Linked DNA regions of Caenorhabditis elegans. The protein of the gene in region 2 interacts with the protein of the main gene of each other region in a pairwise test. Each region holds a gene or a part of one and is shown on either strand. Other genes may lie near its edges.

Region 1 (5,213 bases), on a different chromosome or scaffold from region 2:
ATCTCGAAATCAGTACTTATCGGTTACTCAAATGCAGATAAACTCACGATATTCTCTTCTTTTACTGGAGATGATGGAACTACAGTAATCTTATCGTCCTATGGGTATTTAAAGTAAGGGAAAACAGAATGAACATATTTTTTAAAGTGAAATGTCTTATGTGTAGATGGCTCAGATTTAGAATTTCGAATGAAAATCGTTTCATTTAAGATAGAGCCTTCAAAATAAGTCCCCAAAAACAATTTAGCGGCTGAGCAACACTTTGAATTGAAGAAAAAAAGACTATCTGAAGTTATGCAGTTTAGTTTTTTTCTACTGTTTCAGAGATCCTTAAAATTGCTCCAAAAAGTTGATTTGGCGCTTATGAATTTTACCGAGTTGGTGAACATTCTGGTAGCTTATTGGAGTTTTTTTTCGGAAAAAAACGTAATTTTTCACTCGAATCGTTCAAAAATGTTAAGTTTTATCTTTAAAATTTGTTTAGAAGACACACCACGTAGTTTCTAGGTTCAGAAAACATCTTAACAACAACATGAGAAGTGGAAAACAATTTTATAAGACAGTTGTTAAATTATTTATTTTGCTTTCAAAAAGTGCTCTTCTACCGCTAAATGTTTGATAGTGACCACATTTATACGTACTCTTTCAAATAAAATAGATTTCAGTTGAATGTCTGAATGTAAGCCGAAATCACTACTTTTTGCAATGTTTAAATATTAGGGGTCAAACGTTGGTCAAAGATCGGGTGACTACTCCTGAGCAGCAGCTCCATTAAGCTTAGTGAGCATTCCATATCTATAATTATTTTCAGCCGACGTGTCTACTGTCGTTTATTCGATGAAAATAGGCAGGAAATCTATCAGAAAGCCGTGGCAGTTTTCCCCGAATTAACAATAAAGTGCTCGGAGAGTTCCTCAGTAAAAGCCGAGTTCGTTGCTGTAACTATAAACAAAAAGGATGTTCCAGGGAATATGAAGCAGATTTACAAAGAAAAAGAAACAAAGAACAAATCAGAGTTTACTGTATGTCTTGCTCCACTTTATGGAGAATCTCCGAAAGTGTTGATGTTGATGGAATTTATTGAATATTATAAGTTGCAGGTTAGTGTCTTGGGGTTACGGTAGAGTAGTTATTTTTAGAAATAAAGTGCATTTCAGGGCGCTGACCATTTTCTAATTTACTCATTCAACATCTCAAAGGAAACTGAAAATGTTTTGGATTTCTATAGAAATTCCTCAAACCTTGAAGTAATACAAATGGGAAATGAAACTAAATGTCTAAATCGTCATAGATGCAGACATGAGATGCAGTTACAGGTTTGTTTCAATTATTTTAATTTAAAAATAAAATTAATTCAGGACTGTGTATTCCGAACTCAAAAGTACTCAAGCTGGGTGGCAACGGTTGATTTGGACGAAAGGATCATGATGATTGATGAGAAATCTACTCTTTTAGATTATATCAGGTTTTCATTTTGCTTACTTTTTTATCCAACTCTCTATATTGACAGAAATTGCAATGATCATAAAATCTCTGAACTACGTTTTCGTTGTCAATGGACTCTTCGATATTCTGAAATTTCTTCTGGTGCTCCTCAAATTGAGAATCTTCCAATGATTACTTGGCATAACACCAGCCACGTGGCACCGCAGAATCATACTACAAAATCGATTATTCGGTCCCGAAATGTTGACTCGATGGGTGTGCACGGAGTTCAAAAGTTCCGAAATCCGATCTATGGAGTCCGACTTGTGGAGCCAGAAATTGCAGTTGTCCGACACTATCGATTGATTAAAGGATGGAGTTTCTTTTTAAGAGAAGCCGAATCTTTTGGCAACTTTTTCCATTTTCAACTATCTCCTGGTTTATCTAGTCGTATTATTGAAAGGGTTGCAAAAATTATTGCGAAATTTTAGAACATTACGGGTTAATAAATGTTTTTGATTTGTTTTGTTTTCTGTATTTTGATGTATTTTTGAGAGAATAAAAATATTATACCAAACATTTTGCGTCGGAATACTGTAGCTTCTCGGAAAAATATTTTTGAAGCAAAAACATGTTAAGTTTTTTTTTCAAAATCGTGAATTTTTAACGACAGCAATAATAATTTATTTCGTAAAACACATATTTCCTCATTTACTGGCAGTTTCCAGCAAAAATTACAGTCATTTCACAATTTTAATTCAAAAATTCTCAGCGGGGCGCACTTTCATATCTGTTCCTTGTCATCGTTTTGCACCGTTTTCGTCCTTCATCACGAGAATTTCTCGAGTTTTAGACAAGTTTTTACACTTTTTTGAACAGCTGTTGTCGAGAAAGCTTATAAAGTTAAAGTTAAAATGTTCTACTTCACAAATTCTCAGGTTCCATTCTTTTAACTTTCGAATCTTTATTTGAAAGGACAAAAAGTTTCCCGAGAGAACGGTTTTGTGTAATTAATTTTTTCATCGATTAGATGCGTTTATGCTCTAGAGATGCAGCGTTTTCATTTACAAATACGCAAATGTTCTTCGATTTTTTCTCATTCTTCCTTTTTCAATCTCATTTCTCATTTATTCTTCTAATTTTCAGATGTCTTTCCAAGTGAGCGTAGCCGTTAACGATGGACCATTCCAAAAGAAAAGTGTTACACCAAACACAACTGTTAGTTTTAATACTTAAATGTAATCTTTTATTCAATTTTTTTGCAGATTGGTGATCTGAATAACGACGCAATACTGATTTGGAAAGATACTGCAATTGTCTACGATATTTCGGATGAATCGAAGAATTTTGGTCCAACAGTGACATTAGAGGTAAATCGAATTGTTAAAGAAAATCTTAATCATACTATAAGTTCAGCAACTTGGCGTCACTCAAATTTCAATGGTTTACATATATACCACTGCGTTCCCATGTCCGTCTGGAGATCTCCGATCGATCGTTCCAGCACAAGTCCGGCTCATCTCGCAATTCGCTTCAGCTGCGTCGAGTATTTTTAATGGACAATCGTCTTCCTCAGCACAGTCTGCTCAGAGAACACGGAGAGTTGAACAAGATGATGAAGGTGAAAAATCGATGTTCTCTCGGAAACTTTTGGATTCTCCTGCGACGTTCAAAGCGCTCTCAGAAAATATGTTCTTCCGTTTGAAAAACGAGCCACACAAATTGGGCTACGGTTTGCCGGAACTTGTTGAACGCTTTTTGGCGAAAAAAGATATGACTTACAGTGAGTAGCGCATTTTTTAAATCTTTATCTGACGCCTATCTAATTTTCAGAGGAATTCGAGCAAATGTTCCGTTCCTACGTCGAAGAAGAAGTTCACAAGGAAGAAATTATCAAAAACAATCCAAATTCAGCAGAAGCAAAAATGTTTTTGGAAGCGAAAAGAAATAAAGAACTGATTGATGAACAATATTTACACGTAAGTTTACAATAGAAGCCTGTAAATATATACAAATTGTTATAATTTCAGTCAATGACCCACCACCCAGAAGATATGATTGCCGTCACAATGCTCTACATCAATTTGACTATAAATGGTGTTCCAGTCAAAGCTTTCATTGATTCTGGAGCTCAAAAATCGATCATGTCAATGGCATGTGCTGAACGTTGTGGTCTTAATGGATTAATCGATAGACGGTTCCAGTCAATGGCCCGAGGAGTTGGTGGAACAGAGAAAATCGAGGGAAAGATTCATTTATGTGAGTCAAAAGTTTCCAACATTGATTCACATTCATTTTAATAAATGTTTTCAGGCGATGTGAAAGTTGAAGATGCTCACTTTTCATGCCCATTCGAGGTAATGGCTCGTCGTGAGATGGATCTTCTCATCGGGCTTAATGTGCTCCGTAAGCATGGGTGTTGTATTAATCTGAAAACTTCACGGTATGTTTCCCTCACGAAAATCTCGCGAAATCTAAATTTTTTTTTCTTTTTGAGATTGGAGTTTGGCAACGGAACAACAACTCCATTCCTTCAATCCAATGAAATTGATTCTCATCTGAAAGAGATTATGGCACTTCCTGAAGAAGAAATGCAATTCGAAGATGGATCCACATAGTTCCGCCCCTACAATTTATCCTTCAAATCTCCTTGTCTTTTCATCAAAAACATTTCAATGCCACTTTACTTGTATTTTCTTCACTGCAAATATTATACGGAATTCTTTTTTTTCTGCAAATACACTCTTTCTGTGCGTATCACTTCTTTTTTCTCCATGGAAACTACCACGAGTTGTTCCCATGGGAAATTCCCAGTAAATATCTCAAATATATATTTTTTTTTCATTTTCGCTGTCCATTTTGTTGCCACAGGCGTTTTTCAGGTTGTATAATAGATTTTGTAAATAGCAGCAATGTTCAAGCTGAAGAACGGACAAGAAATTCCGAAATTGGCTCTCGGGACATACGAAGCCAAAGGTGATCAGGTTTGGAATATTTTTTATTTTTGAACTTCGTTATTTTATTTTACCTTTTTTAGCTTTTCGCAGCTGTCGACGAAGCACTCAAAGTTGGATACCGTAGTTTCGACACAGCGAAGTACTATGAAAATGAAAAGGATTTGGGTTTAGCTCTTAAAGTATGAATTAACGAAATAAAACGCAAACATGCTTTTTTAGGAAAAAAAGAATCTGATAGAAAATATATCATTACCCAGACTCGCGTTTTGTGCCAAACATACGTTACGCGGTCTCGGCGCGGCAAATGTTTGCTAATTGCGAAAAGGTGTGCGCCTTTAGAGAGTACTGTAATTCCATTCTCTTCACGTTGCACCATGAATTATAATTGATTTTCGTAGTTTTTCTTAATTAAAGACACAACCATTTTTATCATTCGTGTGAAAATCAATAAAAATTCTGCAGAAACGAAAGCTTAAAATTTTTTACAGTACTCTTTAATGGAGCACATCTGTTTGTATTTAACAAAAATTGTCGTTTCGAGACCGCGTACAGTAGTTTTAGCGGAAATTTTGTCATCTGGGTTATACGCTAGATCGAAAATATTTTTTTGACAAACAACTTTCAGACTCTTCTCCCACGTCACAATATTTGTTCTGAGGATATCTACTTGACATCCAAAGTGTTTCCGTATTCAAGTAAAAATGCTGCTGAGCTAATCAGAAAAGATGTCAATGAATCACTGGAATTGTTAGATAGAAAGTAAGAAGAAATATCAAAATCTATTTAAATTTCCTATGAAAATTTCAGATATTTGGATTTGGTTCTTGTACA
Region 2 (5,148 bases):
AGAAGTTTTGATTGACGCAGATGCGACAAAAATCCAATAAAAACGTGAGATTACTGCCTCAAAAAATTGTGCGGGATTTAATTGATGAGATGGGGGGACGCACCGCACACGCGTCGCTCTTCAACCTGTGACAAAAGTTTGGAAAGATGAGAAGGTCTTTGAGCAATAGATAATCATCAACAACTTTTTTGACATTTGTTCCAGAAAAGAATAGAGAAAGTTTTTATAAATTTAAAGCGAATACTAAAACTTTCACATACATATGTAGTTACATGCTAGCATATTGACTCTAATGCGTCTTTCCAGATTCTCAAAATTTTTTTGGCAATTACCGAAATTTTCGGCAATCGGTAATTCTGGCAATTGCCGATTGCCGGTCACTTTTGGCAATTTTTAATCATAATTATATTTTGAACCATGACAAAAGTTCAGTTTGTTTTTCAGTATTCGGTTAGTCACTTTCTAATAGAAAACGTTCAATCTTAAAGGATCAAAACAGTTTGAGCTTGAAAAGGAAATTTTATTTATTTATTTAAATGCATGGTTAGGCTTCTAAGTCTACAAAAAGTATCAAATTTATATTTCCAGGAATTTTAATTTTCGGCAATCAGCAATTCCGGCAATCGGCAATTTGGGCAATTTCAGCTGCGCAACCATGATTTCAAGGCAATGGAGCATGAGGTCTATCTGTTTTCTAAAAAGTTGGCCATAGTCCAACCAATCGCACATGACTGATTGTCGTTATTACTGCATTTTTAAGAAAGATATATGTAAGCGTTCCCCCATCCACTCAGCCCTCTCCAATAATCAGAGATTGAATTTATCGAAATGTCAAAGTGTAATTTTGTTGGTAACCAATGTGAGAATCGGGATGATGAAACTTTGTATTCGAGAAGGTGATTGCTGATAACAAGAGATATGAAAAATGTACTGTTCCAAAAAATTTATATCATAATCAATCATCTCGTTGCGCGTGTCATTGAAATATGAAGCGATACACTTTCTTGCAAAATTTATTTCTGATAAGATATTTGTGCTGGGGAGCTATTTCTCAAACCGTCCCTAACAGGTCACACTTTTACAAAAATATTTTTTGACATTTTATTTCAATTTTCAAAATATAGAATATTGGCAAATCACTATGTTTACATGGAAGCTTAAAAATTTTTTTTCATAAAAAATACACTTTTCACGCGTTTACAATTAATAATTTGGACTGAAAACTACTTGTGGATTTTAATTTAAAAACATAGCAATGAAATTTTTGAATGTCCTTGATGTTTTCCACTTCATGCTTTTGGGCAAGTGGTGGGAGAGGTCGTTGGTTCCTGAAACAAAATTAAATTAGAAAAATGCAATTCGGCTTTGTGATTTTTAATTGATAGAGCATAGACAAATGGTGGCCTAAAAGTTAGTAGAAAACTCTAACAGACGTTCAAATTGAATGTTCAAACATCAGAATGAATTAAATGGAACAGTCAGCTGGTTTTTATCAAGTCCAAAGTATATTCTTACCTGTACACAATCCAACAAATTACCCTTCTTTGCTGCATCACGCTCGCGAATTCTTTCTTGGATGATTATCTCAGTGTGTTTGAGAATTCGAAGATCTACTAGTGGCTGAAGATCACGGTAAAGCATGAAATCAATGTACTCTTCGGAAAAGATAATTCTCCCATCCGGGCCACGTGGTTGCTCGTCAAGTGTTGGACATTTCCTGGCTTTCACTGAAAATACAGGAGTATAAATATGGTAAACAAGTACCCGCGAAAACGTTTCAGAAACAAAAAAAAAATTAATGAAGTCTATCATTTGATCTTTTGAACACGAAGAATTCCAAAAATGGATTTTCCCACAGGCACATGAAAAAGTGATGTTTGTAATGGAAAGCATGAGAGATTTATGCTGCAACATTAAACTTATTTATAGGAATTTGAAATTCAAGTATTTGTACTTTGTAACTGATTTATTGATACCTAGATTCAACAAAAAATTGGGCTACTTTAAAGACACCCTCCTGAGCATGATCAACAGAGCACTTTTAACGTAGAAAAACAGAAAGTTAGTCAATTTGCAGTTTTACAAAATATTACCAGCAGACTGTTTTTTTTTGTTGCATAGTTAATGAGCTGATGGAATAGTGTATCTCGTTAGAGATAGAGTAGGGTCTTAGGATGGGGTAATTTTAAAATGTTACACTTTCTTTTAAAGCATTGTTTCAAGTTCAACCCCTTCTGATTTTCAAATACAAGAAAGCAAAATAGATTCATAATATTTTGCTTAAAACTTGTTTGAAACCCCGTTTTTTGGTCGACTTCCAAAATTATGAGTGAAAAAACCGAATGATTGCTATTTGCAACAGAAAATATGAAATATCACCAACTTGTTGAAAATTTTGTTACAAAAAAATTAAATAGCTCACTTTTATGATATTCAATAATTTTCAGCCTTTGAAGTTCCTTGTTCTGAGCAGCAAGCTCTTCCAAAGGAACATCCAAATTATCATTGATAAAATCCTCTGCTTGTTTTCGCTCCTTTTCGGCAATTGAAGTTGAACTTTCGGCATTTCGGTTGATCGGCCTTGAAGATGACGGTCTTCCGGAATACATCAAAACCCACTCCATGACTTGGTCAGCTGAAACACGAAAAATGAGTGCCGCGCAATTTCTTATACTCTCAATATTCTCAGAAATGACTCCGCCCTTCAGTCAAACAAGGGCAATTACTCATCCAGGGGAAAGGGGGAGGAAGAATGTTCTCTGCAAAAACTTGCTCATTGAGCTCAGCAGGATCACTCAGCCACTTGTCAGACATTTGGGTGGAAATCAAGAGAGATGAGAAAGAAGAAGAAAAAGATAGAAGCTTGCATAAAAAAAGATTTTTGCAAATGCAAGTGAATCATTTGTTCCACCATGGGCGTGACAGCTCAGGATTACGTTTGAATAATTTTGAATCAACTGGAGCCATTATCTTTTGAAACCAAATTAGACTAGCGCACTAATTTACTAATCAGACTAAATTTATTTTTCAAAAAACTTGTAAATACTCATTCGCAATCATATAATCTTGCACCAAAAGGCATATCGTTGTAGAGCCTTCAAAATTTGAAAATGCATATAAATATGGTACATATATATATATATATATATATATATATATATATATATATATATATATATATATATGTATACATGTGAAAAAACATGTTTAAGTAGTTATTTTTAACCTTGTTTTCCACAAATAAAACACGGAACAACAATTTTTTTTAAATCATAAAACTAGTTTCAGAAGTTATTTTTAAAATTGAAAAAAGAATCCCCCAAATTTGCTCTTTAACGTATTCAAATATCATCCACTTTTTTCGTGATTTAATTTTTTCGATTCAAATTTCCGATTTTTTTTTCAGCCGTTTTTTATCTCCCAAATCCTCAAGTTTTCATTAAAAAAATTCACTGAAATGAAACAAATGAACAAGTTGGCAAAGAAAAATCATGAAAATTGGATTGCATGGTGCCGATCTAATTTTGAAACAAAATAAAACGAAACGAGGAAAAGATCTTTTGAATTTGTAAACAAAAAGTTAATGAAATGGAAATTGGAATTCGTGTGGAGCAGACACAACAATGAATGAAAATCGAAAATAGACTGAAATGAGGAAGGACATTTGAAACTAGAAATCTAAGAAAAAAGTTATGGGAATAAGAATTTTTTGCAATTCAACGTATGTTTACAGGTATTTATAGATTTACAAGTTACGCTAATCAGAAATTTGTGAGGAAATGATGTAACACGTAGGCGTGTGAGTTGCAGTGCCCAAAACATGTTGGGTGCTTCGAAAAACAAAACTGTGGCTGGCAAGTTACTTCCGCAGAAAGCGGGTTATGAAAACAATGCACACGTAAAATTGTTTGTCAATTTGAACAAAAAATTTTCATCAATAAATATATAAACTGTTACTTTAAGTCCCAAGTAGTTTATAGCAAAACGAGAAAAGTGTTGAAGTTTTGGAGACCACGATACAAAAAATTCAAGAAAAAAAAATCAAACGCAAGATAATTTGCCTGGAATCAAATCTGAGAAGAAGTAAAAATATTTTTTTCTATAAGATTTTGAATATAAATCAAATTTAAAAAGTCTGGTCTGGCCAATTTTTGTCTCATTTATTCATGTCGATGTTCTTACCAGTCTTTAAACGCTTTTAAATCTTTAAATCTTTAAGTCTTTAAATGTTTCAGATTATTATTTTTTAAATAAAAAACATGACCAAATTTGATTTATAATTTTAACAGTTGTAATGCTAAAGTGGTACCTACATATTACATTTTTTTAACATTCGGTACGGATAAAAAATTATTAGGTGCGCCACGCCATACTCAAAACTTAAAAATGAAAACATCACTGTTTTTTCACATTATTTGAAAAAACCTCACCAACTTTAATAACCAACTTCCTTCTAAAAACAAATATGTTTTTTTTTCTTCTTTTCATTTTTGAAATCTCTGATCATTTTGGAGAAAAACAGTTATTTTCAAAAAAAAATTGAAAAATATTTATTCTCTTCCTTCGCGGGTCTTCTTTCATTTTATTTCACTATTATACAAATATTTGCTCCTGGTCTGTAGGAAAAAAGTTACGCACCAAAAAAAATGACCAGCGACCAACAACACAATAATATTGCTGGAAATGTTAAGTTGACTGAAAACAGAAGTGCCGAATATTGTTCGAAAACACGGAACTAAAGGGCACGGTAGAAACGGGATTTGTGTTTTTGGTATTAGAATAATGAAATGCAAGCAACTCAAAGAACTGGAATTTTTTTTGTTAAGCTGAGAGGAACAGGAAATTGTTTTTTCGAAGGATTTGCATTCAAATTGAGTTTTCGAATTGTGAGTTCAATATGGAGTTCAAAAACATATTTCGAGGCTTTGATGTGTGTCCAACTCGGTAGGTATCAATAAATTTTGACAGAAAAAGTTTAGCGTATACCAAGTTCAAAAGTTATAAATTCATTTTTTAAGTTCACTTTTGAATAAACTGATATAAATTGTCCGTTTTGAAAAGCAACCAAGCTTGGCAGAATTTAGCATCAGCTGATGAAGTAAGTGATGACGCCTATTAATTTCAATTGTAATACTGAGAAGCAAATAG

Evidence for each region. The genes of interacting proteins can lie anywhere in the genome.
Region 1: the proteins of M03B6.1 (region 2) and ddi-1 interact in a two-hybrid assay, tested with the Caenorhabditis elegans proteins (one large-scale study listed by BioGRID).

Annotation. Positions count from the first base shown.
Region 1 is NC_003282.8:6,520,303-6,525,515, forward strand, and holds ddi-1 (Protein DDI1 homolog 1), read left to right. Parts: upstream 1-2,564; 5' UTR 2,565-2,571; coding exon 2,572-2,643; intron 2,644-2,690; coding exon 2,691-2,795; intron 2,796-2,841; coding exon 2,842-3,208; intron 3,209-3,258; coding exon 3,259-3,404; intron 3,405-3,455; coding exon 3,456-3,684; intron 3,685-3,738; coding exon 3,739-3,868; intron 3,869-3,922; coding exon 3,923-4,043; 3' UTR 4,044-4,269; downstream 4,270-5,213. Other genes in the region: gtnt-2 (Glycosyltransferase family 92 protein), read left to right, coding at 1-113, 812-1,100, 1,158-1,316, 1,359-1,465, 1,511-1,916; C01G5.5 (NADP-dependent oxidoreductase domain-containing protein), read left to right, coding at 4,338-4,409, 4,463-4,561, 5,008-5,141, 5,190-5,213. UniProt on the Caenorhabditis elegans protein: Aspartic protease. Required for the cleavage and activation of transcription factors such as isoform a of the transcription factor skn-1, which in turn regulates the expression of proteasomal subunits such as rpt-3.
Region 2 is NC_003284.9:13,839,104-13,844,251, reverse strand, and holds M03B6.1 (uncharacterized protein), read right to left. Parts: upstream 2,643-5,148; 5' UTR 2,625-2,642; coding exon 2,423-2,624; intron 1,728-2,422; coding exon 1,516-1,727; intron 1,329-1,515; coding exon 1,290-1,328; 3' UTR 930-1,289; downstream 1-929.